7 linked regions of the Cricetulus griseus genome follow. The protein of the gene in region 1 interacts with the protein of each later gene in a biochemical or structural test. Links are inferred from orthologs where the notes say so. Each region holds a gene or a part of one and is shown on either strand. Other genes may lie near its edges.

What was found.
Region 2: of the proteins of Smurf1 (region 1) and Smad5, one has a biochemical effect on the other in vitro, tested with the Homo sapiens proteins (3 studies listed by BioGRID, with this or other methods). The link is inferred for Cricetulus griseus from reciprocal best matches to the Homo sapiens genes SMURF1 and SMAD5.
Region 3: the proteins of Smurf1 (region 1) and Plekho1 form a complex in vitro, tested with the Homo sapiens proteins (4 studies listed by BioGRID and IntAct). The link is inferred for Cricetulus griseus from reciprocal best matches to the Homo sapiens genes SMURF1 and PLEKHO1.
Region 4: the proteins of Smurf1 (region 1) and Rhoa form a complex in vitro, tested with the Homo sapiens proteins (2 studies listed by BioGRID and IntAct, with this or other methods). The link is inferred for Cricetulus griseus from reciprocal best matches to the Homo sapiens genes SMURF1 and RHOA.
Region 5: the proteins of Smurf1 (region 1) and Rhob form a complex in vitro, tested with the Homo sapiens proteins (2 studies listed by BioGRID and IntAct, with this or other methods). The link is inferred for Cricetulus griseus from reciprocal best matches to the Homo sapiens genes SMURF1 and RHOB.
Region 6: the proteins of Smurf1 (region 1) and ubiquitin-conjugating enzyme E2 D3 form a complex in vitro, tested with the Homo sapiens proteins (15 studies listed by BioGRID, with this or other methods). The link is inferred for Cricetulus griseus from reciprocal best matches to the Homo sapiens genes SMURF1 and UBE2D3.
Region 7: the proteins of Smurf1 (region 1) and Pdlim7 are reported together in a solved structure, tested with the Homo sapiens proteins (2 studies listed by BioGRID, with this or other methods). The link is inferred for Cricetulus griseus from reciprocal best matches to the Homo sapiens genes SMURF1 and PDLIM7.

The regions. Positions count from the first base shown.
Region 1 is NC_048597.1:81,289,125-81,292,624, reverse strand, and holds part of Smurf1 (E3 ubiquitin-protein ligase SMURF1), read left to right. Parts: intron 1-593; coding exon 594-714; intron 715-1,370; coding exon 1,371-1,572; intron 1,573-2,809; coding exon 2,810-2,894; intron 2,895-3,500. UniProt on the Homo sapiens protein: E3 ubiquitin-protein ligase that acts as a negative regulator of BMP signaling pathway. Mediates ubiquitination and degradation of SMAD1 and SMAD5, 2 receptor-regulated SMADs specific for the BMP pathway.
Region 2 is NC_048596.1:275,741,512-275,745,011, reverse strand, and holds part of Smad5 (mothers against decapentaplegic homolog 5), read right to left. Parts: intron 2,958-3,500; 5' UTR 2,746-2,957; coding exon 2,343-2,745; intron 1-2,342. UniProt on the Homo sapiens protein: Transcriptional regulator that plays a role in various cellular processes including embryonic development, cell differentiation, angiogenesis and tissue homeostasis.
Region 3 is NW_023276806.1:60,524,041-60,528,221, forward strand, and holds the start of Plekho1 (pleckstrin homology domain-containing family O member 1), read left to right. Parts: upstream 1-1,381; 5' UTR 1,382-1,507; coding exon 1,508-1,534; intron 1,535-1,669; coding exon 1,670-1,816; intron 1,817-2,384; exon of another isoform or gene 2,385-3,760; intron 3,761-4,111; exon of another isoform or gene 4,112-4,181. Other genes in the region: uncharacterized protein LOC113833187, read right to left, coding at 960-1,244. UniProt on the Homo sapiens protein: Plays a role in the regulation of the actin cytoskeleton through its interactions with actin capping protein (CP).
Region 4 is NC_048597.1:216,484,918-216,489,141, reverse strand, and holds the start of Rhoa (transforming protein RhoA), read right to left. Parts: upstream 2,801-4,224; 5' UTR 2,659-2,800; intron 2,264-2,658; exon of another isoform or gene 2,126-2,263; intron 1-2,125. Other genes in the region: Tcta (T-cell leukemia translocation-altered gene protein), read left to right, coding at 3,273-3,495. UniProt on the Homo sapiens protein: Small GTPase which cycles between an active GTP-bound and an inactive GDP-bound state.
Region 5 is NC_048600.1:18,982,914-18,986,928, reverse strand, and holds Rhob (rho-related GTP-binding protein RhoB), read left to right. Parts: upstream 1-1,486; 5' UTR 1,487-1,514; coding exon 1,515-2,105; 3' UTR 2,106-3,515; downstream 3,516-4,015. UniProt on the Homo sapiens protein: Mediates apoptosis in neoplastically transformed cells after DNA damage. Not essential for development but affects cell adhesion and growth factor signaling in transformed cells. Plays a negative role in tumorigenesis as deletion causes tumor formation.
Region 6 is NW_023276806.1:24,045,351-24,049,647, reverse strand, and holds the start of ubiquitin-conjugating enzyme E2 D3, read left to right. Parts: upstream 1-1,497; 5' UTR 1,498-1,621; intron 1,622-1,704; exon of another isoform or gene 1,705-1,833; intron 1,834-2,063; exon of another isoform or gene 2,064-2,202; intron 2,203-3,074; 5' UTR 3,075-3,224; coding exon 3,225-3,248; intron 3,249-4,297. UniProt on the Homo sapiens protein: Accepts ubiquitin from the E1 complex and catalyzes its covalent attachment to other proteins. In vitro catalyzes 'Lys-11'-, as well as 'Lys-48'-linked polyubiquitination.
Region 7 is NC_048596.1:274,490,765-274,494,264, forward strand, and holds part of Pdlim7 (PDZ and LIM domain protein 7), read right to left. Parts: intron 3,430-3,500; coding exon 3,393-3,429; intron 3,207-3,392; coding exon of another isoform or gene 3,110-3,206; exon of another isoform or gene 2,854-3,109; intron 2,460-2,853; coding exon 2,392-2,459; intron 2,246-2,391; coding exon 2,008-2,245; intron 1,002-2,007; coding exon 821-1,001; intron 1-820. UniProt on the Homo sapiens protein: May function as a scaffold on which the coordinated assembly of proteins can occur. May play a role as an adapter that, via its PDZ domain, localizes LIM-binding proteins to actin filaments of both skeletal muscle and nonmuscle tissues.

The sequences.
Region 1 (3,500 bases):
TAATTCCAGCACTTGGGAGGCAGACACAGGAGTAGTTCCAGGCCATTCTGGGCTACATAGTGAGTTCAGTCCCAGCCTGGGGTAGGGTGGCAAGGGGAGGACGGAAGAGCCAGGTGGGGACTCTGAAGCCACAAGTCAGTAAGACTTCCAGGCCAGCAAGTTTACCACCAGCCTAGGCTCCATGAAACCTTGTCTCAAAAAGATGACATAAGGGGCTGGAGTGATGACTCAGTGGTAAAGAGCACTGGCCGCTCTTTCGGACGGAGGACCAGCACCCATGTGGTGGCTCACAGCTGACTATAACCAATTTGAGAGAATCCAACACTCTCCCTGGCCTCCATGAGCACCAGGCCCATGCACGATGCAGATATTCAGGGAGAACATGCATCTGCTTAAAGTAATACTAGTGATTAAAGAGAAGGCCAGACAGAGAAACTAAGAGCTAGCAGGGAGGTGGGAGTGGGCTGGCGTCCACTCAGCAGGCTCTGCATCAACATTACATGTGATGTGTTGTCACAGCTGCGCCAGCCACTGTGGGGACAGTACTTTCATGGCCTCTCCACAGTTGCTTATAGTATGGTTTTTCCTTTCAGGTTGTATGTAAACTGGAGGTTTATGAGAGGAATTGAAGCCCAGTTCTTAGCTCTTCAGAAAGGGTTTAATGAACTCATTCCCCAACACTTACTGAAGCCCTTTGACCAGAAGGAACTGGAGGTAAGTGAGGCCACTGGCAACCCTGTGTGTGTGTAGTGGGCTTAGTGTTGGGAGACAGAGCCATTTGAACTGTCTTGTCACACCGGGCACTATCTGTCCCCTTGGCAACAGTTAGTGCCTGTGCCTTGGATTTTTAGGATCTCTAGCCTTTGCTTTGTACCAGGCCTCTCTCAGCCCAGTTCTCTGCTCTCCATTCTGGCTATTAATAGACTAAGAACATGTCAATGTTGGGGACTTGAACAGTAATGACTCATTCATCCTTTGCTAGCTCTGCCTGGTGCCAAGTGGCCTAAGCCTTCCAGCTTGTTCTTATAGCCATTTGCCCACCGTGAGACTGAGCTTTGGAGTGGAACATCTCTGTAGGCTGTGAGTTTAGAGCAAGCTTTTAAACAAGTGGAAAGTGAGCATCCCCCATATCCCTTCATTCCCCACATGGCCTGTTGAATTCTCGCCTTGTCAGCCCTTCCCAGTCACTCTTCCCTGGTTTTGAGTAAACTCACCCCTGAGGTTTTGGGGTATCAGCCCACTGGTAGCTACACCAGTCAAAACCGAGGTGGCTGTTTGGCTTGGGAGTTGCACTATCAGTATGGAGTCTGGGGTGGGGGGGCTGTCTTAGACCTTTTAGAATTAACACCCAGCCTGATGCCCTTCTCCAGCTGATAATAGGTGGGCTGGATAAGATAGACCTGAATGACTGGAAGTCAAACACACGCCTGAAGCATTGTGTGGCCGACAGCAACATTGTGAGGTGGTTCTGGCAGGCAGTGGAGACCTTCGATGAGGAGAGGAGGGCCAGACTCCTGCAGTTCGTGACCGGGTCCACACGAGTTCCTCTCCAAGGCTTCAAGGCTCTGCAAGGTGACTGATGGTGGAGTCAGGGCCATTCCCTGAGGTGTTTAGCTACCATGTTCTGTCCTAGATGGTAGAAGCAAGAATTGAAGTGTGACTGTCCCACTAGAGAATAACGGTGGCCAGCATTCTTAGAACAAATACTTAGCTCTGGGATGCCTGGCAGGTGTAGGGTCACATTGGAGTCCCCTTTGGACCATGGATCCCAAGGTCCAGAAGCAGCAAGGGCTACTGATAGCCTTTGGCCTTTACAACCTAAGGTGGGTTCCGCCTAATACCAACCCTATGGGGATTGGTGGAAGAGTTGGGTGGAGGACACTGGAGCTTCAGTGTTCTAGTATTGCTGCAAAAGTGTTTGAGAGACTGAGTCCACCTTATTTCCGTAGTGACGCAGGTCTGCAGGAGTGGCAGGGTTCCTCCCCACATTCAGAAGGAATCTCCACCTTCTCCTAGCACTGATATATTCTGTTAAGCCTGGGCTTGCTGCTCCTCCAAGGGGATGGGTGGAACAGGGCTTGCTGTCCCTTACACACCAGTGATGAACCAAGTAAGACACACTAAGGACATGGGATTTATTCTCCGCCCACTAAGGAAAAGACCGTTGTTTGGTAGTGAGTTTTCGTGCGCATTCAGATTTTTGTGACCCCCACACCCTTCTCTCCTTACCTCCAACTTCTCCACAGCAGGCCTGCTTACCAAATGTTCCCATTGAGAAAAACCCTAATGTCACAAGGGTCTTACTAATATTATCCAAGACCAGGCAGGGGCTTGGATGTGAGCCAGGGATGGGACAGGGTCCCCATCCAGTCCTGGAGTGACTGGTCCCAGAGGAGGGAGGAATGAATGTCCCTTAGAGCAGGGCATTCCACTGGAGGTACACAGGCCAGGTGCTGCGTGGCCAGGAGGCCACACTGCCCTTTCAGTAGCTTGCCTCAGCACTGCCAGCCTTTGCCCTGCTGAGAGGAGTGTGTGACACCCCTATAGGCATGACATGGACTAACAGCCTTGGTAGTAACCTCAGCAGCAGGGGATGGTCCAGTGGCTGGTGTTTTCTGTCAACTGAAGTGTGGAGACAAATCAGTCTCTCTGCCTCAGCTACCCCCCAAAGAGGTTCCCAGGCACGGTATACATAGGGGCTCTTAAGTCCGTGGGGTTCAGGAATGAGTCCCACTGCCCCAGGGCCGCAGGGCCAGGTATTCCCAGGCTTTGTCTGTGAAGTACATTAACTAGAATGTTGTCTTGTAAGGTTCTACAGGCGCAGCAGGGCCTCGACTCTTCACCATCCACCTGATAGATGCCAACACAGACAACTTGCCCAAGGCTCATACCTGGTAAGTTTGGCCACCGTGGGGTCATGCGTCCTTCATGTCATCTCCAGTAGAACCTCAGATCATACCCTAGGGTCAGATGAGACAGGTGCTTGAGTCAGCGGGTGCCTATTTCACTGCTTTGTGAACTGGATTTTGTAATGTAGCAGAGCAGTTAGAGTTGTAGTGACTTTTGCCCATGAGTGCAGCCTGAAGGTTCATGGATAACCCTTGGCTGTGTGTGTGCATGTACCTATCAGAAATGGACAGGCACTGTCTATCTGATATGTGGTTCCACATTTTCCTTCTCCAAAACTTATTGAAAATGTTTTTGCACAGTCTCAGAGTCATTACCTCTCCTTCAGCACACTAGTTCCTAAGGTTGTTGGGATGCTACATAATAGGACAGAAGGTTCAGCTACTGCCTGTGACCCAATGAGGAGGTCTGGAGGGAATGATTTATATCTATCCCAGCTTTTGTTAACATCTGCAAGATGGGCTAATTCATCCATTCCCAGGACCATGTAGGACACCAAGCCTGCCTCAGCATGGTATGGCATGTGCTCCTACACAGTGAGTGGGTGGCTTATCGTTTCTAACACCATTCCTGATTGCTCTGTGCCTACGATT
Region 2 (3,500 bases), on another chromosome or scaffold:
AGAGAACCTAGGTTTGGTTCTCCACTTTTAGAGGATCTGATGCCCTCTTCTGGCTTCCTCAGGCACCAGGCACACACACGATACAAGCAAAGCACCCACACACATAAACACGTGGTTTTAAAATTTGGGTTCAGTTGGTATCTAATGTTTATTACATATACATGTATTATACACACTCATACCCACATGCTATATATTCCTAAAAAATACATATAAAACCCATTGTGGAGCCAAGTATATTGTGCATTTTCCTCCTGAGCAGGGTTTTTAGTAAAGTTAACTATTTCCTTAATTTTAAGTACATACCACTAATATTTCCAGTATCCTATTTCATCTTTTTTCAGATGTTATAAGTAAAATTACCATGGTTCTCCTTGGGCTTCCAAAGAAACAGACCCCTGTCAAATATGAACCAGCAACTAACCAACAATGTAACCAGTTTCCACACTCAAGCACATCAGGCTCACAACCCCTCCAGCAGGGAAGACACTCTCGGTACTCATGTGCTCAGACAACCCTGACCCTTCAGCATACAGCTGAGGACTTGTTCCTAACCAGCAGTGTGGTCATGCTCCCTAAGAATTCAATGTCCTCTTGCAGGAAAACGCCCTTACTGGCTCTGAAGAAGAAACATAACATGCACGCATGCTCTCAGGAATAGTCTGGTAGAGAGAGAAAATGTAACATTGTGAAAGGGAATGACAGCATAAGAACAAATATACAGGGGCTGGAGAGATGGCTCAGAGGTTAAGAGCACTGACTGTTCTTCCAGAAGTCCTGAGTTCAATTCCCAGCAACCACATGGTGTCTCATAACCATCCGTTATAAGATCTGGTGCCCTCTTCTGGTGTGCAGATATACGTGGAAGCAAAATGTTGTATACATAATAAATAAACAAATAAATAAAGATCTTTAAAAAAAAAAAAAGACGAGAACAAATATACAGGTGAACTACTGATGCAGAAGGCCACACAGTAAGCAAGTGGAGGAGTCTCCAGCTGACAGTCAGCCAGAGGCCAACCGCCTGTCCAGGAACTAAGTCTTGTCAGTATCACAGTGAGCTTCAGAGTAACTGCCCCTTACCTATCTGAAGTGCACCCAGCTGTGATAGACGCCTTGATGAGAAACTCACAAGAGACCCCCAGAAACTATAAGGTAGTAAATGTGTGCTATGCTTAAACTACCACACATGTGGCTATTTATTGTGTAGCAACAGATAACTAAAAAACCTAACTGCTTTGAGAAATTTTATGAAGTTCATGGGCCAGAAACTTAATTCCCAACATGACAGTACTTGGAGATGGGGCCTACAAAAGGTGACGAGACTGTAGCCCTGTAGAGGTGGAATTGTTCTTACATCAACAGGTTGCTTGGGCTGGAGTGTAGCGCCATGGTAGGGCACTCCCCTAAAATGCACACGACTCTGGTTTTGATCCCAGGCACCACAGGAAAAATAGAACTAGGCTTCTTTATATATGTTATTGCCTCCTTCTATCCTCTCCGTCACTCACACTCATATACTCTTCTGTGGTAGAGTTAGTTATAAGACCCACTCCAGACAGTCACTTAATCCTGGACTTTCTATGCTCCAGGACTTCTACTGTTAATCTTGAACAAAGGCTAATGTAACTTTTTAGCCAATAAACCTAGTAATGTGCAAATTAGAGAAATACATGTGGGTTTTTTTTTTTTTTTAATTCTTCTCAGTAGAATGAACTTACCCAGGCTGTGGTATTCTGCTATAGCAGCAATAAAGGGACTAAGACATCATCTTACATAACTCAATTCACAAAAAAAAAAAAAAAAAAAAAACTAAAAAATACTGACCACTATATCTACTAACAACTAGTAAAGAGTATTATCCTGGGCATTGAAAAATGAATAATGAGTAAGATCAAGGAAAGACTTTCTGACTCCCCAAAACTGTCATCTGATTGCCACATATGCTGTCATACACACACCATGCAAAAAGTAAACGTATTTTAATGAAAAAGACAGACTCTTGTAGACAGGGAAGATGTAAAGCCAGAAAAATAGTTGATATGTTGACAACAAAGCTCCCAAACAAACAGGAGGGAGTAGGGTCTAGTGTGAACATGGAACATGTATTTAGCATGACAGAGATGTCGGCCACAGAAAAGTAATGGGTGTTATTAGAGACAGTGAGTTCCAACAGCCAATCAAGAGTTTTAATGTTCAAAAAATGTTAACTTTAAAACCCAGTATTCCTAAGATGAAATCTTTAACAAAGGCTGACATAATAAGCCTAATTATGTGCAAATCGGAGAGACATGTTGGTTTTTTTGTTTGTTCTTAATTCTTCTCAGTTGGGCAAAACTTACCTGGACTCTCCACTCTCTTATAGTGGTACGGATTGATACAAACTTCCTTTTGCTTAGATCCAAAAGGAAATTCGCAAATATCCAATGGCTTTAGCTCATGATGACTCTGTAAATCTGGCCAACGCCAAACACGACAATATATAACATGGGGTAAGCCTTTCCTGTGAGAAACTTGTAGGCGTCCATCCAAGGACCTGGGGATAGTGACACACTTGCTGGGCTGTCCTGGGCTACTCAAGGCTTTCTCCAACTCCTCCATGGCACCCTTCTTCTTCTTCAGCTTTTTCACTAAGGCATCGACTGCCTTTTCTGCCCATTTTTCTTCCTCATCACCTTGTTTCCAGCCCAGCAATCGCTTCACGGCTGGACTAGTGAAAGAAAACAAGCTGGCCATTGACGTCATTTGACAGCAATCTTCAGAGGCTTTCCTGTAACCAAAGTCAGGAGATTTTGACAGCAATCTTCAGAGGCTTTCCTGTAACCAAAGTCAGTAGACGGGAAAAGCGTGGGTCACAGGTGCAGTCACAGGCAGGTCTCCAGCGGAAGGCCCAAGTGGAGAGGAGGAGAGACATTTAACTTCACAGGTGCCATATGCTTCTTTCATTCGGACAAGTCCTGAAAGAGACGGGGAAAGGAGCCTAATTCAATCTAAGAACACTAATCAACGTAACTGAAAAGTGTTATCATAAAAGTAGAAAAGTATTCAAAGTAAAACAAAATGCATAAAGCCAGAAAATAAAAATAGCTCTAAAATTCCTGTAGCCACTCACTCCCTTGTTCAGAACACAAATAGTTCAGCAGCAAAGCAAAGGTTTAAAGAGTCATCTAAGACGGAAAGAAGCCAGATAAGAGTTGTCATAAGCAGCACTCAGGAGGCAGAGGCAAACAGATCTCTCTGAGTTCGAGGCCAGCCTGATGTACAGAGTGAGTTTCAGGACAGCCAAAGCTACACAGAGACACCCTGTGTTGAAAAACAAAAACAAAACAAAGAGGTCACAAGATGTAGGAGAGTATCAAACACAGCCTAACACATATCACTACCAGGAAAGTGTCAACTATTTTTAGAATGAGGAGTGCTGAAGAGATACAAAATGTTACTCAACTCCTCAAAATGTCGGTTTGTACTTTATAAAGACTATTTGACTACTGGCTTCTATA
Region 3 (4,181 bases), on another chromosome or scaffold:
CTAGGCAAAGAGATCTACCACTGAGCCACACTCCCAGCCCCTTTGAAACTATGTAAATCAGGTGGAGACAGGAGGATTAGCACATCAAGATTAGCCTTAGCTATGTAGTAAGGCTGAAAGCAGCCTAGGCTGTGTAAGACCATATATATATATATATATATATATATATATATATATATATATATATATATTCAATCCAAACCATTCTTCTATGCCCGGCCAACAAGTTCTCGAAAGCTCCTGTAGGCTAATTTCCTCAGCTGTGTCCTCACACTGGTACATTATGCTTCCTCACATAGCCTGCATTTTCTCACTTTTTTTTTTCATCACCTTTTAAACAGGACAGTACCAAACTGAGCTGGGGAGACGGGAAGGGGATAGTTTCAGAAGTGCGCTCTGTGTGTACAAAGTCTAAAAGGTACAACGGGGTCAGAAAACCTATATTCTAATTCATGTAACAGTAGTGTGTCAATTTGACCATGTCATTTGGTTCTCCGTGCCCGACTGATCATTTCCCAAGGGATAACATTCCCATTCTATATGCCTAACAAAACGGTACTCAATATTTTTAAGTGCCAAAATAATATTTTGAAAGGATAAAGTTCTGCATCCACCAGAAAGAAAAAAAAAAATCAGTTCGTATGGCTAGGAAAGAGAATCTTACAGGATTGGGAAGGGAGATGGGTCTGAGGTTCTTTCTTGACAGATTCCAAAAAAGCCCAAACATCCTCCACGCCTCCAACCACAAACTTCGCAACCCTTCATCTTGAACGTTTCTGGAAAAAGACTATTTCCCCTGCTCCGTAGCAGGGGTCTTTACTCACTTCGTGGTTGCTGTGTTTACCATACTATACCAGGTAATAGGTTTATTGGCTTATTGTCTGGTAGTAATTGGCCCTAGGAGACAACCCTTGGGTCCTCCGGGGCTTTCATGGGTCAGCTCACCCTCCTCCATTTACCCGGCAGGGGCACGGAGACCGCCGAGTGGTGAGGAAAGCCGTCCTCAAACTTGGGCTCCCGCCCGGCCCCGTCACAAACTCAGGGCTCGGCCGGCTCGCGGGCCTCCCCGCCGCCGCACGCGTGTTTCCCGCAGGCCTCGCGGGGCGCTCGCGGCCGCCCCGGAGGAGGTCGAGACCGGAGCCTCCGGAGGGAGCTCCGTAGCCCGCGTCTGAGGGTCCGAGGCGGCCGGTCTCGCCCCGCGCCTCCGCTCCATCCGGCTCGCCACGCCTCGGGCCCGCCCCCATCGCCGCGCCTCTCGGTTATCCGCTCGCGCCTCCGCCGGGCGCCGGGTCGGAAACAAAGGCGGGGGGCGGGGAGCGCGCGGCGGCGGCGGCGGCGCCACGGTCGCCCTTCATTCGGAGCCCGCGACGTCAGCGGCGGCGGCCGGGGGCCCGTGCGGCGGGGCGGGGGCGGGGCGGGCATGGGCGGCGGGGGCAGCGAGGGCCCGGCCTGCGGGTAGCGCGAGCCGGCGAGCGAGCAGCGGGCGCGGCCCCCGATCCCGCCGGCCATGAAGAAGAGCGGCTCCGGCAAGCGGGTGAGTGCGCGGCGCGCGGACAATGGGGCCGGGGCCGGCGAGCGGGGAGCGGGCGGGCGGGCCGGCGAGCGGGCGGGCGGGGAGGGCGCGGAGACCCGCCTGAGCCGCCGCCGCTCCTCGTCTCGCCCCGCGCAGGGGCCTCCCGATGGAAACCATCACTCTGCGGCGCCCGAGAAGGTCGGCTGGGTCCGGAAATTCTGCGGGAAAGGGATTTTCAGGGAGATTTGGAAAAACCGCTATGTGGTGCTGAAAGGCGACCAGCTCTACGTCTCCGAGAAGGAGGTAGGCGCCCTTGCCCAAGCCGTCCCGACCCGGTCCCCACGGCGGCTGGTTCTCCGGCTTGCCCCGCCTCCCTCCCTGCAAGTTCAGGGGTCGCAAAAGTCCTGTATCTGCAGAGAAAAGTCACCCGAGTGACTTTACCTGGGTGGGAATTAGGAGTTTACTTAATTAAATGTGCCTGTGAGGACACCTTTCTCAGAAGTTCTGAACGTCCGCTGCCTCTTCCCCTGTTCTGGCCCCCTGAAATACGGGATTGATTTTTTTTTTTTAATTTTCTGTTGAAACACACTGCTCATCTTGTCCCTCGTCCCTTTCTGCCTTTCCCACCCCAGCCCCACCATCCTTTCCGTTCCTGTCTGTAGCAGGGGGCATATGTAGGTCTCTTGAGTAGCAAGTCACCCTAAATCATAGAAAACACAAACTGCGATCCGTCTCTGGGACCTGAGGTAGGGTAGCTGTGGATGCCAGACTTTTGTAGAAGCCAGCGTCCTGAAGTAGGCCTCTTCCTCACCTTCCACTCCACTTAATGAGGAAAAAAAACAAACAAACAAGAAATTCATATTCTGCCCACCTTTATTTGTAGAGTGGTGGAACCGAGTTAGGACTGTGAGCGCCTGTGTGCACGTGTGCTTTGACTGTAGTTGAGCATGAAGCCACAGCCCACACTGGTCAGAATCTAAAGCCAGGTCATGGAATCCAGACCCCCTTCCCCTTTTGTAACTCTTGAATCAATAACAGGAATGCTGAGAAGCCGAACTTGCTTCCCTGTGACTTTTTACAGAGCATGGTACACTGGCCCCTCAGACTGGCCCTCCCGCCCTTGACTGTGTTCCCTCACCCGGAACGGACTGGGAAGTCCTCCCCAGTTCTAACCCCTTCTGCTTTCAGCACTAGACTCTTGCATTGTGCCGTTCTGTTCGGGTAAATAAATCCTTTTATGGTGTTGAAGTAGACACACTTGCAGCCCAAGAGAAGTACTCATCTGAAAACTGTCTACTGAGACAAGTAGAGAGAACTAAATAGCGCTGAGCCGGCAGGCGAGGTCCCTCTTGAAGGGACCTAAACATAACGGTTGGAGAGTCCTGGAGCAGCTGAGGGAAGGCTTGAAGGAGACTGTACTTTGAGGGTCACTGCTACAGACAGATGCCACAGACAGCTTTCATCACAATTTTCTTGCTTTCCACTTTTTTGTTTGTTTTAAAAAGCCGCAGCAAGTGTCACTGTGTATCTCCTGTCTTCCCTGAACTTCATAATGCCAGGAAAAGCAGTGCGCAATCAGGAAGGGCTTCCTACATGTCAGAGGGAAACCAGAGGGCAGTGAAAGGCTAAAGAAACTAAACAAGGCTTTTTTTTTTTTTTTTTTTTTTTTTTTTTGGCTTGTATTTGTCCAAAAGGCAGAACCTGGGGATTGTCCAAAAGGCAGAACCTGGGGACAAAGGTGCAGGATTAATTGGCTAATAAGCTTTATGTCAAAGAAGAACTACGGAGCAGAGAGATGATAGGATGACCTCAGCCTAGAGTGGCTGCTGTCCTCTGAGTCAGGAGCATCTGACTAGTCCTGGAGCCAGATGCCCCCTACTGGGGAGGGCATTGGAAAAGAGGGAACTGCTCCTTATTATGACCCTTCTTCAGAACCAATTCCGTGGTCCAGTGGACCCGGGCTAAGGGTGAAGCTGCCAAAAGACACGGTTTATTCTGCCTGTAAACAAAAGCTGCAGTAAACCAATAGACTGACGACATTAAAACCAAGAGCATAGTATTTGCAGGTCACATGCTGATGCAAAGACGAAAACGTCCCTACCCATTGCATTGTTTCTGTCAGTCTTTCTTGGGAAAGCAAGGAAGCCCTTCCATGTGTGCTGTTGGTCATTCCCCACTCTCCAAAGGCACCCTTTAAAAGGGCTGGGATGTCTTCTAGTCAGCAGATCCACACCTCAGGGTGGCTTCCTGGGAGAGGAAGTTAGGTTGATAAAGTGATGCTTTGTGTGTATGTGGACCCCGAGAAGAAAGGGTTAATTTGGAAGATGTAGTCATAAATGAGACTTTGGGAATTTGGTGTGAGAAACAGACAGAATACAGCACAGAACAAGGTGCCAGGGGCGCCCATCTTTTCTGGGCACTGGCATTTACTTATTCTACTGCCTGACTCACCCAGTCTCCTACCCATGCCCTTTCTGACCTCTGCCAATGCCTCCTGCTCCCAGAGTGCCTTATCAGCCATGCCCAAGCAGGGGGAGCTCCCTCCCTCCCTTCCCTCAGGAAAACAGAACAAGTGAGTCTTTCCCCTGCCGCACACACCCAGCTCTTCCTCTCCAAGCCTTCTGGTCTCTGCTGATAGTCTCTTTGGGGAAGGAGCCAGAGAGGAGGG
Region 4 (4,224 bases), about 140 Mb from region 1:
CAGGATTTTGTTATATAGCCCAGGCGGGCCTCAAATTAACAATCCTACCTCCTGGAGTACTGCAATTATAGGTTTCTCACCTCACCTACTTCCAGTTTTTAAATTCAGCATTTGTACACAGCATGCCATCATTGCTAGCAGTTATAACGCCATGGAACCAAATGTACTGTCTACAGAACCCACTAATCTCAAGTCAGTCTTGCAACAAGGTTAGCCAATCTCTCAAGGTTAACCTCCTCCTCCTCCTACTTCCACCCCACCCCATGGACTAAGAAACACCTGAACATTTTACTCTTCTAAAAATTTACACCGCTAATAGAGAGGATGGGCTGTTAAAAGGATTAATGATGAACAAAGAATAAGGACTATGAAAACACTCCAACAAAACCATTCTCACACACTGCACAGACCACTGCTTATGTATGTGATTTGTGCATTCTCACCAGTTCAAGTTAAAATCTAGTCAAAGGGGCTATAGTAGCCTGAAGACATTCTAGGGGGACCTCATTATGTTGTCTTTGTTAACAGTCAACTCCCAGAGGCTGGGTCCTCAAGAAAATCAACAAACTCAAAGACAAGGCTAAGCCAGAAAAGGGCTATGTACAAAAACTAGAAATTTAGACGGGCATTGGTGGCGCTCGCCTTTAACCCCAGCACTCAGGAGGCAGAGGCAGGCGGATCTCTGTGAGTTCGAGACCAGCCTGGTCTACAAGAGCTAGTTCCAGGACAGCCTCCAAAGCCACAGAGAAACCCTGTCTCCAAAAACCAAAAAAACCCCAAAAAACTAGAAATTTGTTTGGCAAGTGAACTGACCAGATTCTCCCTAAATACGCACAATCTGCAAGGTGAAGAACAGCAAGAGAGTAATCAGGAACCCTGATTTTAGCCGAGAGTACACGGAGGACTTTTTTTTTCAGATAGAAAAGTAGTTTTAGTCTAACTAGACATATGACCTTCAAAATTTTTAACGCTCACCAGGAACGGTGGTACACATCCCAGCACTATTCAGAAGGCAGAAGCAGGACAGCTAGATCTACAAATCAAGTTCCAGCGCTCAAGTCAGACTCTGTGTCCATTTCTCTTAAGTAGTAGGCAGGGGTCTCTCCCACTGTTCTCTCTGCAGAGTGCTAATAAACCTTTCTCTTGAAAAAAGTCCCTGAACTCAGTCTCCACGCCTACAAATGGAGTCAGCCTATAAATCCTTTAAATCTTTTCCAGTCTATATGGGGGAAAGTTGGCAGATTTTCCTTCTCCAGGAGATTTCTGGGTAGCGGCATTGTAAGTTGAACACTTGACTTTTGACTCAGTTAGTTATAGGGCTGGAATAAAGCTCAGAGATATAGCACCTGCTCACTATGCCCCAAGCCCTGAGTTTAATTTCAAGCACCAAAGAGAAAAAAAAAATAAAATAGAAAACACAAGCTCTCTATATATTTTATGCCCCTAAGAAACACCTAAGTAGACAAATTCTCACAATAGTTCTGAGAGCCTTCAATAGTAAGACCTAGCCTTGTATTTTAAGTTAACAAGGATACTTGTGTTAAATGTTCCAGACAGTATCACTACCAAGATAACCATGTGGATGGTGAGAAACCATCCACACGGTACATTCACACTTGGACATGTGACACTTAATGGCTGAAAATTCTCACCACATACTACATTGAGTTTCCCATCCCTCCAGGTTTGCCAGAGGAATATAATCTGGTTATATATAACCTGCAAAACAACACTTATTTCAAAAGAATGTCAGAAGACAGAAAGAACCATATGAATAACCAACAGAGGTTAAAATTCTTAGTGAGGACTATTAGAAAATACAAGTAGAACCAATTGTGGGACAAAAAAAAAAAGATGCCAATTTCCCACTTTATGCTACTAAACAAATCAAAAAAACAAAAACAAACAAAAAATATTTGGGTGCAAAAAGTACAATTTCAAGAAAACGACCTGAAAAGGGAACCCATCTGTAAGTGATTCCTAATTAAAGCAGTAACTTTAAGTAGAAATGCATCTATATCGATGCAACCTCTCCAAATTATTTTTACAATGTTTTTTCAACTGGAAAATACCTTCCCCCCATACAGTCTTCACCGCTAAGATTTCAAAACAATCATTTACTTACACAATCTCTAAGAATACGGCATTGAAAACAGAAAATCCACCCAAAGCCTCACTGTCTTCACCCGGTATAAAACGGTGATTAATGATCCACATTCAATGTAAAAGGCAAAATGGAGTTGTAAAAGAGTTTCTTGCCTATTCCAACTCCCGACACCACGCGCGCTTCACAGTGGCAGACTCCCCCAGCGCGGTCGCGGGCCGGCCGGGAGCCCCCGCCCAGCCCGGCGCAGCCCTGAGAGGAAGCGACGGGGAGGGCGGGCGGCTAGGGCTCCACCAGGCCCGGCCGGGCGGGGGAAGGGGGACTGGAGGCGGCGGGGCGCGCTTCGGGGACTGCGCGGGGCGGGCGGGGCCGCCGCCTCGGGCGCGGGGCCCCGGTCAGGGGGGGCCAGGGCTGCCGGCCGAGAGCAGCAGGTGGGGCGCGCCCGCGACTGGGGGACGGCGGGTGCCGGAAAGTGCCGGGCGGGCGGGCGGCGGCGGCGGCCGGCCGGCCGGGCCCCCGGAGCCGAGGCGGCTGGAGGGAATGCTTCTGCTCACCTCAAGGCGACCACTCCAAGTCCGGCCTCTTCGCGCCGAGGACGCCTGTCCGCGAGTCCGCAAGCTCGGAGACGAGGACCGGCAGCTCCGCGGAAGACGGCGGACTCAGCAGAGAACCGACGGAGGACCGCGGGCGGCGGGCGGCGGGCGGGGAGCGCGAGCGAACGAGGGCGGGCGGTGGCGGGAGGGCGGGGAGCGACGTGCGCGCCCCCGAGCGCCCTGCGGGCTCGAGCTGGCGCCAGTCGCGGCCCCGCGCACGCGCGCACTCTCGCAGTTCGTCCACGATTGCTCAAGAGCGCAACCACGCCCTAAAAGCAAGACGCTTAACCAATCATTGCGGCCGCGTGGAGCATCACGGGAACTCCGGGGCTATAAAAGACCAAGTTGCTATTTTATACTCACCGATTCACTCATCCTTTAAGTAGCAGGGCGGGGATGGGTGCGCCTGCGCGGTTTTAAAGCCCTGCCCCAAACTGCCAACACTTCGCGCAAGCGAAGTAGATCGTCTTTGCCCGACATTACGCGTGCGCACCTACTTCTCTAACCCCGGAAGACCGTGCGCTTGCGCAGTGAGAACTACGGTGACAGTACACCCGGTGGGGCGCTGGCCAGTCATGGCGGAACCTTGGTCTGGGCAGTTTTTGCAAGCTCTGCCCGCGTCGGTGCTCGGAGCGCTGGGCACCCTGGGCAGCGAATTCCTGCGGGAGTGGGAGACACAAGACATGCGAGTGACTCTCTTCAAGCTGCTCCTGCTGTGGTTGGTGTTAAGTCTCCTGGGCATCCAGCTGGCGTGGGGGTTCTACGGGAACACAGTGACCGGGTTGTATCACCGTCCAGGTGAGGCTCCCTACGAACCTCCTTGGCCTGGCTGCCCCTACCACCACCAAGCTATACCACTTGTTTCTCCTGTGTCCGCGTAGACTGCCACTGGTCTCCCAGAAGCCTCGTTGCACCCAGACTTACACCCCCATACCATCTTACATCAGAATCCCCACCTGTCCATAATCACGTTGTAACGGTTTCTCAAAAACCCTTACCAGACAATACTACCAGTCCCTAGCATCCCAGCCCCAATCTCTTAAACTGTACCAGTGGCCCCTTACCTGAGCCTGCTCAGATCCCCACCCTCAGCCTCCTGCAGCTCTGGGTGTGTTCCTGCCTCCAGGTCTGGGTGGCCAGAATGGATCCACACCTGATGGCTCCACACATTTTCCTTCATGGTGAGTAAATCTCCGTCTATCCCAACCCCATGCTTGGCAGGCAGAGAACACTGAGTGCTGGTGACAGGGAAGAGAATTCGCAGGGCCACCACCTTAGTGGCCTCTGCAAGAACCCTCCAATTCTGCAGGTAGAGCTCAGGATTCGAGTTGGGCATTTAGCAGTGCCTCTTATCAGCATATGCAGTGGGGATGGATGGTGGTGGTACCGTAATTTTAGAAAGGTGAAGTGGTAGGTAGGTCTGTTGGAAACAAATCCCTTGATTGGGAAGTCCTTCATTAGGAAAGTGAGAGTATCTATTCTAGGCAAGTACTGTACCATTGGAACTATAACGCCAGCCTAACAGCC
Region 5 (4,015 bases), on another chromosome or scaffold:
TTTGCTCTGTTCAAGCAGTTTGCTTTTCTGGGGGAGGCCCTCTTCGACTCCCTTGCTGCTTTTCACTCCTTCTATTTCTTATAATAGACTGACTTAGATCCTTTAAGACAGGAGGAGTTGCCACTTCCTGCAGGATGGGTTGATAAATGAATTAAGGCCTGGTATTATATATCAAGACGCTCTCTCCACCTCACAGTAACCGTGTGCCCACCATCAAGTTCCCAGTGAGGTTGCATCTGTACTTTCCCGGCTTCAAGCTTTTCATTTGCTTGGGATGGATGGGTTTCATCATATTGGGGTGGGTGGGTTTTCTTGCAGCATATTGCGGGCTTCAGGACTAGAATCTGATGTAATGTTATAGAGCTGGGTGGAGGTTGCCTATTCAAAGCCGGACAATTTCTTCTCAGCGAGTGGCTGGGACCTCTTTCCATTATCCTAAGGCTATGCTACTCTAAGATTCCTCCCCTTATCTTCTTCACCCGGAGACCTAAGTGCAGGCCTTGGAAGAGAAGAGCCTGTAGGAGACTCACCCAGGCCCATCCAATTTACTGTCAAGCCTCCCATTGTGAAAAGGCTGCCTGGGGGCTAGTACCAGGATGCGGCTCAGAGCAGAAGAGAGGTATGTCACCTAAAGAAAGTAAGAAAGAAAGAAAAAGATACCCTTGGCTAGGGACAAAAGTGTGCATGGGAGTCTGTTTACGTAAAAACAAAACCACGTTAAAGGCGCCACCCCTCCCCCATGTGTTTGATCTCCAGCGCGGAATCTGCTCGGAAGCAAGGTAAATCTGAAACTGTGAGAGTAGCCAACGCCCCACAAAAGTGAGGCTCGTCTCGCAACTGCCCACCCAGACCCAAAGGGCTTTGCGCTCGGAAAGGCTGCGGCGAAGGCGGGGACCTGGCGGCCACAGAGCCCCACGGGGCGGGCCGCCGCGCAGACTCCACAATCACCGCCTCTCCCAGCCCGGCGGACAGGGCCGTCAATCATGCTCTCCCGGACACGCCTTCGGACTGCAGCGGACGGCCAATCGGAAGCAAGCTCCGCAGCGATGAGCTCAGCCCGATGGCTTCCCATTGGCTGGCTATATTAAGAAAGTGGCCGGACTCTTTAAATAGCGGGCGCTAGGGCCGCAGCCCGCATCTGCCGCCGCAGTCCTGCTGTTGTCGTCCGCGCTCCTGTACCTTTGGTCTGGACGATAACCTCTCCGGAAAGGAGGCTAGGCCGAGTCCTCAGCACTAGCCATCGCCTCGCACAAAGCAGCCCAGCTCCGGAGCAGCCGAGGACCGCAGCACCACCCGGCAGCAGCGCAGCGACACGCTCCGTGCGCCTTATGCCCCCGCGCCCTTGCCGCGGCAGCCAGAGAGCCCCGAGAGAACGCACCACCGCGGAGTACCGGTGCAGCTAGCGATCCTAGCCCGCAGCGCGCCGCCGGGGGAGAGCGGAGAGTGGCAAGCAGGGAGCGGGACGGCGGCGAGGCGCTCGCGGGCCCCTCCTGCTGCCCGCGCCCGGTGAGCTCATGGCGGCCATCCGCAAGAAGCTGGTGGTGGTGGGCGACGGCGCGTGCGGCAAGACGTGCCTGCTGATCGTATTCAGTAAGGACGAGTTCCCCGAGGTGTACGTGCCCACCGTGTTCGAGAACTATGTGGCGGACATCGAGGTGGACGGCAAGCAGGTGGAGCTGGCGCTGTGGGACACGGCGGGCCAGGAGGACTATGATCGTTTACGGCCGCTCTCTTACCCGGACACCGACGTCATCCTTATGTGCTTCTCGGTGGACAGCCCGGACTCTCTGGAGAACATCCCCGAGAAGTGGGTGCCCGAGGTAAAGCACTTCTGCCCCAATGTGCCAATCATCCTGGTGGCCAACAAGAAAGACCTGCGCAGCGATGAGCATGTCCGCACGGAGCTGGCCCGAATGAAGCAGGAGCCAGTGCGCACGGATGACGGCCGCGCCATGGCGGTGCGCATCCAAGCCTATGACTACCTCGAGTGCTCGGCCAAGACCAAGGAGGGCGTGCGCGAGGTCTTTGAGACGGCCACGCGCGCCGCGCTGCAGAAGCGCTACGGCTCCCAGAATGGTTGCATCAACTGCTGCAAGGTGCTATGAGGGCCGCGCCCTGCCTCCCGTCCCTGCCAGCGTGGCTCCCCCTTCTTGGCCGGGTCGCCCACGAGCCGGGAGAAAGGGAAACCCACGCCCCCAAGGACACCACCAGACTGCCTGGCATCTGCTGGTGGCTCTGGTTGGTCACGCCGAGAATTAGCGTGGGCACCGAGCTCCCCCTTCCCAGTGTCTGTGTGTCCAGCTGTGTGGCACAGGCCTGGGCGCCCTGCTGAATGCCAAGGGGTTCCTGAGCCAGGCCTCAAAGTGTGGTTGTGTGTATGTACGACTCCCTACACCCCCACCCCACTCTTGCCCCACCCCCGCCTTTGGTTTCCCCAGAGGCACGCAGAGAGGTCGAGCTCCAGCAGATGTTCCGCTTGTAACCAGCAAGCCACTAGTGTCCCACCGTGTCTGTAACATAGACCCCTGGAACCACGGGAGGGGAGGGTTGGGGAAGATGATGGGGGTGTTACATAAATACAGATTTTATTTTCGGAGGCGGAATGGTGTTGTTTAGTGGTGGTGAGTGGTGTGACCCAGGGCGCAAGAGCAACTCCTTTCCCAGGCTGGATCAGGTGCCCTCCCATCCGAGCATGAACTGGACTTGGCCATCTTTTCACATCCTGGGAAAGACATTTGCAACTGACTTGGGGTTGAGAGGAAGCGGCTTCCAGATAGTCTCCTGGGCCAACCCCCAGCGAACCTCCTTTCCAGCCACCGGTGGAGGATCCAGGGTGTGCTACGGGGGCCACTTTTGCCATAATCGAACTTTGTGCCTGTCCCACAAGTGAACGTTGTTCAGTCCAAGAGACTATTGTTACTGAATTTATTTAAAGGCTGAAGCTTTTTTTTGTTATTGTTGTTGATGGAAGAATTCTTTGCACAATTGTCTCATTGTTCGACATTCAGTGCACTTGTCATTTGCATAAGACAGCATTCTGACCACACTTGTATGCTGTAACCTCATCTACTTCTGATGGTCTTTTTTTTTTTTTTAATACTATGATGACTTTAAGGCGATTAAAAAAAAAAACACTAATTTTTGCTTTGTTTTCTTGAAAAAAAGTGTCAACACTGTTTTGTGATTTTTATTTGTATAGCTTACGCACACTGTTTTGATAAAGGAAGGCAACATATTGGGGTCTATTTAAACCTCTCCCCCCCATTTCAGCTATGTGAAATTTTCTCTACGATGTGCAGAGAAAAGCCTCCCCCTACTCCCTTTCCCTCACCCCTCCCCAGCCCAGTGGTACTTCTACTTTAATTGTCTTGGGATTTTTTTTTGTTTGTTTTATTTTATTTTTTAAATAAACTGACAAATGACAAAGTGGTGAGCTTACGATGTTTACATAAAAGTTCTATAAGCTGTGTATACAGTTTTTTATGTAAAATATTAAAAGACTATGATGACATTTATAAGTGGCTCTTGTGGCTTAATAGTGTCATTAAAAGTACCTGAATTTGGGGTAAGGGAAGAATTCTCAGACTCTTTCTGGCAATAACCCTTAGGGGGGGTTGGGTGACCCAGAGGGGCTGGGTTGTTCCTGTCACATTCCCAGAGGAAGATAAGCTTGTTACTCAGACACCCAGAGTGTATGAATTACTGTGAATTTAGTCCCATTAGGTGAGGCCTACAGTCTTGGTTTGACTTCCTCTGTAGGTATTTAAAAAGTGCCTTAAACGTGCATTGTTACTCTTTGACAACGAGAAAGGTTCTCATTTGTGAATGTTAAATATGGGTGACTTTTTTTTTTTTTAATGTTTTTAGGAAGTGTGGTTAATCACATGTGTGGACCAGGCTGGGAACTTAAGAGGTAGGGAATAGACTGTCCCTTGTCTCCTGTCTCTCTCTCACTCACACACCGCCTCCCAACTAAGCTGGTATCTCTGGGAAAGGGAATGTGTGTGGCTAGAGT
Region 6 (4,297 bases), on another chromosome or scaffold:
GACGACAGCGACTCTGACAGAGGGCAGGCATCAGTCATCTAGATTGGTGGTGAAGAAACAAACCTGGAAGACGTGGAACCCGACCCCTATCATAAATAGATAAAAAAAAAAACAGTAAGCAAAAGCCGCCATCTGGGTTTCTCCCTCCACCCCATGCCTAATGTTTGCTTCTACTTTAAAGGGTGAGCCTGAAGAGAGAACAATGGGTTGTTTTCAGGGAGGAGGAAGTGTCAGAGGTGGCCAGGAGAGCATCATGTGCTCAGGGTTTTACTAAGTCAGAAATGCTCAAATTATTCCTATCACTTGGGAGCTTGTTGTAAATGTATAATCTCGGGCTCCTAGTCAGGCCTAATAAATCAAAATCAGCATTTTAAACTAAACTACAGGTGATTCCTATGGACACCAGTTGAAGCAGCTGTATCCCACCGATTGCTCTAGTGACATTTTTAATGTATAAGCAGCTATATGTGTATATATATATACACACACATATTACACACCCTCATTCTTAGAATATATATTAGATCCTTCATCAATTTTTATCATTTAATTAGGGACTACTGTCTGGAACAAGTTTTCAAAATTCAAGCTATTTCCATGTAGTCCTGCAGAATTTCACTTCAAGTGGGGTTATTCATGGGTGCCAGAAAACCCTAAAGCAGGTCCATCCTTTCTGCCTTTAAACGCCTTTTGAAAACTAAAGGCTTAGTTCTTTTTTTTTAACCAAAGAATACACTAGATGACAAACGGCCCTCTACACCTTAACCACGGCGGCCCAAAATCAGGGCAGTGGTACACTTGAGAGATCTCACCCCTGAATGTAATCCAGACTGATTCCCTAATGTTTTACCACTTTGGGGCTCAAAAACTGCAGCAGCACCGGGAGAAAGAAGATCCTCAGGCATTCCTTCCTCTGGCTGTTCCCCACCTGACTGCCTGACGTCGGGACTCTAAGCAGCCCGATCACAATTAAGCCGCATTGTTAAGGCTACGCTAACGCTCGCCCCTCGGGCCGCGCGCGGCTCACGCGGGGCCCACGTGGCGGTGCGAGCAGCCCTCAGCCTGGATCTGTTGTAAATTACCGTTCCCAACCTGAGGGGAGCCTCCTCCCGCCGCTTAGCCCTCTGCGAGGAGCCCGGGAAGAGAGATCTCCATCACCTGGGCCCCCGGAAGCCCGGAGCCCGCTCCACCTTCGCTAAGGCACCGAGTCACCCCGCGGCCCCGCCCACAGCCCGTCCCCCATTGGACGCCCGCGAGGGGGCGGGGCCAGCGCGCGCCGGCCGCACGCACGCACGCCCGCCCGCCCGCCCCTCGCTCGCGCCCGCCCGCCCTCGCCCGCCCGCCCTCGCGCCCGGCCGGCCTGGGGAATTCCATTTCCTCTCCCGCCCACCAGCAGAAGCACTCAGGGGCGGTGCTTTCGGCCCAAGGCCCGCCCAGTGAGAACCTGGGGGGGAGGGGGGCGTGGAGAGTGCTACCGGCGCCTCTCGCGATAAGTTGCGGATTTGGGGGCGGGCCCCAGCCAGGAAGAGAGCACAAAACTGCCCTTAAGTCATTGCAGAGCCGGAGCTCCGCTGAGCCGGCCACGAGGTTCTCGCGAGATCCGCCGCCTCCGCCATACCAAGTGAGGAAACCAGGGGGCCGCGGTAGGGAGGGGCGCGGGGGCCTCGACCGCGCAGCTGCCGCTCCCATCCCCTTCCTCCCGAGGTCTCCTTCCGGTTCTCGATGCTTCTCTGAGTCTCAGGGTTTCCGCCGCTCGCCTACCCTCCCCTCGGCCCATGACCCGCCTCCGTCCCCCGCCCTCCCGGCCCGACCTCCGAGCAGTGGAGTGAGAAGGTGCTGTGCGGTCCGGCCGGGAGGCGGCAAGCGGGTGGCTGGCGCGTCGGCTCGGGCCCGGAGGCAGGGAGGCAAACCGCTGCCCTCAACCCTCGCTCGCCTCGGCTCGGCTCGGCTCGCCCCGCGCGCGGCCCGCGGCTCGCGCTCGCGACGGCGGCAGCGGCGGCGGCGTTGGCGGACGGATACGCGGCGGTGAATAGGCGGGGGGAGGGGCGGAGCGTGGCAGCTGGCAGTAGTTCCGTCAGAGCGAGCGGACATCTTGTGGCTGTGCCGTGCGCGTGAGCCCCGTAGGGCCGGGGAGGCACCAGCTGCCGCGCGGGGAGGAGGCCGAGGCCGAGGCCGCAGCTCGAGGGAGGCCCCGGCCCCTCTGTACGCGTGGGTGGGGACGGCTCGCTCGGCCCGAGGGAGGGCGAGCGGCCGGGGGCCGGCGCGGCGCGGAGCGGCGCCCGGGGCTGTGGGCGGCCGAGTGGGCAGCCCGCGGGCTGGGGTGGGGTAAAGGGGGGAGGCCGGCGCGGCCGGGGCGGGCGGGCGGGGGGGCGAGAGGGAGGACGGGAGGACGGGCGCGGGGGGGAGACAGGGGCGCGTCCTCCCTCGCGCCGGAGCCGGAGCCTGGCGGCCGCCGCCGGCGGCGCGTGGTGGTGAAGGAGGAGGCTGGGCGCGCGCACGTAGGAGCGCGCTGTGAGGCGGAGAGGAGGGAGGCAGTGTCAGGGGCGACACGGAGCAGCCCGAGCCGTGGGCACGGCCGCACACGCGAGCCCGCCGCCCGCACGCCCGTCCGTCCGTCCGCCCGCCCGCCGACCTTTGGAGCGGAAACGGAGAGCAGCCCGGCGCCGCTCCGGAGCCTCCCGCTCCCCTCCCCCTTGCCTTTCTTTGCCCCGGTGACGCCGGCCCAGCGCCGGCCGGTCCGGCCAGCCTGCCTGCCTGCCTGCCTGCCGACTAGGCCCCGGCTCCTCCTCTGCCCGGCCCCGGCCCCGCACCCACCCCCTTCTCCTCCGCCTCTTCCTCTCCCACCCGGGGCCCTTCCTTCCGAGAGGCCGGGAAGTTAAACTCGTAACCTCTTCCCGTCACCCTCGCCCTCTGCGGGGCGAGCCGCCGCCGCGGGGAGAAGCAGTGGTTGGTGGCTTCGCTACCCCACCCCGCCCTGCCCGGATCGCGGCGGTTTGCAGGGATCTCGGAGTCGGCAGGGTTTTCTCCGCGGCCTCTGGCGAGTGGCTGATCTGCTCCGTTTTTGCAAAAAAAAGGCGCCTGTGTCTGGCAGAGCCGCTGGGAGGAGGAGGAGGAGGAGAAGGAGAAGAGACGATCCATCCTCGCCGCTGGGATAATCAAGAGTTTTCGGCCGGGCCTTTGAGTACACATCGGGATAGTGAGGAGCCCGGCGAAAAGCACAGACTATGGCGCTGAAACGGATTAATAAGGTAAGTTGTTGGGACTGACTAATCCGGACGGGGGGCCCTGGGAAGCCAGGCAGGCAGGCAGGCAGGCAGGCAGGCTCGGGCCCAGGGGGAAGTGTGGAAGTGGGGTGCGAGTGTAGTTTATGAGATGAGTTTCTTTAAGTTGGGGGAACTGAATGCTTTTGGCAAGCGAAATGTTAGACCGAATTTCTCACAAGAATTTGTAAATTAATGGGTGAGAGCGTGGCTTTCAGGCACCTCGGTTTTGTGCCTCACGAAGAGTTAGTCCGGTTTGGAAAGTGGAATTGTGTAGAAGCCCTCGGGCAGATGGCATAGTACTGCTTTCCTATTCCTGGTTCTTCAAAACTTATTTTAGGTGTACTATGCTTATAGGCCTTCTAGGAAGAAAAGGAAACATGAAAAAGAAAACATTTTATTCCGAACTTTACTGAGGGTCAAGGTATTATAAACAAACCTCGATTTGCTAAAAGGTAGTGACGAAGTCTGTCCAGAAGCTTAACCCAATCTGGGCAGTTACACAAGACCAAGTGGGGTTGGGAGGAGGTGGACTGACACTGTTGCCACTTCCTGTGTTGTGTGGTCGCAGCTTGCACCCGAAGCTATTTATCTGAGGCACGGGAACTGATGTAAATGCCTTTAGGAAGATCCGTCCGGGGTGGGGGGGTGCTTGACAGTGCAGGAACACAGGATGGACCCACTGCTTTTGCTTAGGACACCCCCTCCCCCCTCCAGCCTTGTTTCAGCAATCCACTATAATTTGATAATTTACGCTGTCGGTTTCAGTTGGGCAGAAGCTAGGATTTTTCGGAGGTCTAGTGTAAGAAGAACTACCTCCTCCGGTGGTTTAGTCTCATTTTATTGCTCTAACTTCTATCCCGCATTTTAAGATGGCGGCTGCTTTAACTGGTTCGGGTTCTTTCCGACACCATCCCTTTTTCTAATAATAGGAAATAATGTTCTCTGTTAACGTTAACTGTTTTTTTTATATGGTTGTAGGGAGTTCTAAGGGTCTCTGCCTCCAAGACTTAACCTAAATTCAAACTCTTGAGACT
Region 7 (3,500 bases), on another chromosome or scaffold:
GCTCTTGTAGACCAGGCTGGTCTCAAACTCACAGAGATCCACCTGCCTCTGTCTCCCAAGTGCTGGGATTAAAGGCCACCACCAACCAGCTTTCCTCCCTCCCCCCAATGGAATTTGATCTTTTAGGTTGGAGAGGTAGCTCAGTGGTTAAGAGCACTTGTTGCTTTTCTAGAGGACCTGGTTTGGTTTACAGCACTCACATGGTAGGTCTGTAATTCCAAGTCCAGAAGACACCATCTTTCTGACCTCTGACAGCACTAGGTGTGACTGGTGCAAAACACTCAATACACATAAAATAAATACACTAAAAAAAATTTTAGTCTTTTAAGAGTATACTGGCTAGCTGGGTGGTGGTGGCACACACCTTTAATGCCAGCACTTGGGAGGCAGAGGCAGGCAGATCTGAGTTTAAGGCCAGCCTGGTCTACAGAGCAAGTTCTAGGACAGCCAGGACTACACAGAGAAACCCTGTCTCAGACAAAGAGTATCCTGGCTGGTATAAGTAATGCCATTTTGTTTTCTTCACACAGAGTCTCACTGTGTAACCCGGAATGGCCTATTAGAATGCTCTTGCTTCTGCTTTCCAAGCTCTGGGATTAGAAACAAACGCCACCATGCTAACGAGACTGTGCAGGGAATGGAACCAGGGCCTGTACATGTTACACAGGCCCTCCATCACTGGGCCCATACTCTGAGCTGTATGCAGGCCTCCATCACTGGGCCCATACTCTGAGCTGTATGCAGGCCTCCATTACTGGGACCATACTCTGAGCTGAATTCAAGCCTCCCGCCCACCTGCCCTCCTGCCAGCCCCACTCACTCCAGTGATCTTCTTCTTGCATTTGGCACAGCTGGGTGCATAGCGCACGTCATAGCAGGAGGGGCAAAAAATTGCCCCCTTCTCCTCAAAGAAGCCACCCTCTTCCAGGACCTTCCCACACTGGCTGCACACAAATTCTTCAGGGTGATATGCATGGCCCAGTGCGACCAGGTAACGGCCCCTGCAGGGAGAAGGAATGTATGCAAATGAGGTATGCACCCCAGGAGGAAGACAGGAGTGGTTTCTCCAAGATCCTACAGCAAGAGGGAGCAAATGGAAAGGGAACCCTTATATACTCTCCTGATAACTGCGGCAGTTTTGGTGCCCTGGTTTGGGAGGGAATTGACAGTTTAAGACTACCAAGACACTCCTGGGGGACTACTGCCCAGTGTGAGGGTGAAACCCCAACTGACCCTGGTGAAAACCCTGTCCTGCTTCCCTGTTCCATTTGGCCTGAGCAGGGGCCTGTGAGCCCTGGATAAACAGGGATGTCAGGAGGGGATGCTTTTTACAAATCCTCTGCCTAAGGGTTGATGGGAGACTAGAGCAGCCCACCAGGGCCAACTAGGAAGGTTCTAGAATCTGGCTGTGAGGGGCTGTGTGACTTGGCTGGGTTCCAGGGAGCAGTGTATAGAGGGAGGTAACTGTGGCCTACTGGCCCTGAGAGGTGTGGTTTAGCAGAGACCATGCATGCTGGGGAAGCAGCAGCCCGAGAGCTGCAAAGTGAGACGCAGCTTCAGGGTGCCGCTGGCACCTCACTGCAATAGGCTGGGGAGCGTATGGTAGGAAGTGTAGGATTAAGCATCTGAGAATGGGGGCTGCTGAGATGGCAGTGAAGAGCACTTACTGCTCTTCCACAGGACCCAGGGTTGAGTCCCAGCACCCACATGAAGGCTCACAGCCAACTACAACTCCATCCAGCACCAGGGAAATGCAGCACCCTTTCCCAAAGGTTCCGTGCGCACCAGGCATGCGATTGGTGCACAGATACACACACAGGCTAAACACCTATATTCGGGAAGTAAAATAAATTTTAAAAGATCTAAGGTTCCAGGCTAGATCCTTCCCCTGCTTCTACCAGATCCTTAATTTCCTCAGAGTAGCAACTGAGGTAGGGCAGATAGATACATCGGGGCCAAGGCCAGGCTGCAGGGCAGGAAAGACCAGGGTTAGAAGGGAGCGCTCACCGAATGATCTTGTGGCACTGGTAGCACACGGGAGTCTTGCCATTGTTGCTGCCCCCTCCTGTGCCCCCTCCAGCTGCAGCCTGCACTATGGAGGTTCGGTTCTGCAGAGGCGTGGGTGTGGCAGGCTGGCTATGCCGGGTCAGCACTGTGCTGGTTTTGTCTGGGGCATAGCGCTCAGCAAACGCAGGGTCCACGGCCCAGGGTGGGCGACTGGTGGGGCTGGGGGTGGTGGTGGGGCCTGACAGCCAAGGAAAGTAGATCCAGAGGGGCACTCAGGGAGCCCAAAGTGCAGAGGGTAGAGCCCAGGGTAGCCTACAAAGGCCCACCACCCCTATGACCATGGCGGCTACCCACCCTTCTTCACACCCAAGTCCACTTTCTTACCAGGCCAGGGTTCCTGGGGTATAGTTGAGGCTGGGGCTGGGGCTGGGGCTTCTGTCCTGGGCACCTGGCTGTAAGATCAGCCATTCAAGGCCCTGCCTGGCTGAGGCTCTGGGCATGGTCCCACCCCCTAACTCCAGTTGTGCTGGGCCCATGAGTGAATCTCAAGTGCATGAGAGCGGCTGGGATGGATTCCAGGTCCCTCTGGGGTACAGGTAGGAGGGGGTGCCTCCCCTAAGTAGGTTAGAGCTATCTGGTGTGCTGTATGGAAGCAGGGTGGGGCTCCCGTTCCTACGGCAGTCTTTGGGTCTCCTCTCATACAAAAGAACCAAGCTAAGGCACAGCCATCTTTGTTAGGGATGTCCTCCCACCGAGAAGACTGCAGGACCCGCACCAAGTCTAAACCATTTAACGCCCCGTACCCAAAACATAACCAGACCCAATAAGACAGAAGACAGCGGCAAAGAAAGCGAGGCTGAGAACGTTTATTTTCATGCTCAAGGCAGTGCAGACCTGGCAGACAGTAGAACCACAGGGCCAAGAGGGAAGGCAGTGTCAGACGAAGCCAGGCCCTGTGCCAGGCGGGCTGCCAGGACCAGGCCAGTAGGAGGTTCAGACCAGGGGCATGAAAGCGGTAGGCAGAAGCTGGAGGCACCAATGGGTGCCCTGGGAGGGTAACAGAGAAAGGAAAGCAGAGGGCAGCAGGCTGGAAAGGGCCAGGCTATGACTGCACGTTGAGCACGTGGGCAGAGCGCTGGTGGTGCCAGTCCCGGAGGCGTGTATAGCGTGGGCTCTGTAGCTCCAGGACATACTTTTCCCTGAGGGGCAGAGAGAGAGAGAGGAGGAGGAAGTGAAAGAAGGAGAGGTGGAGGAGGCAGGGGGTGGAGGGAAGGAAGGAGGCAGGGAGAGAAGAGAGCCCTGGCGGGAGAGGGCCAGGAGCAGCGGGGTGGCGGCTGGAAAGAAGAGTGGGAGGCTAGAGGGAGGGCGGGAGCCCACGCTTTTACCTTGACTTCTTCATGTAGTCCTCATCCGGGTCTTGCACTGAGAGGACAGAGGCAGGCATTGACCAAGAGAAACAGGGGTCACCCCAGCCTCGAGTCCTGGCAAAGTCA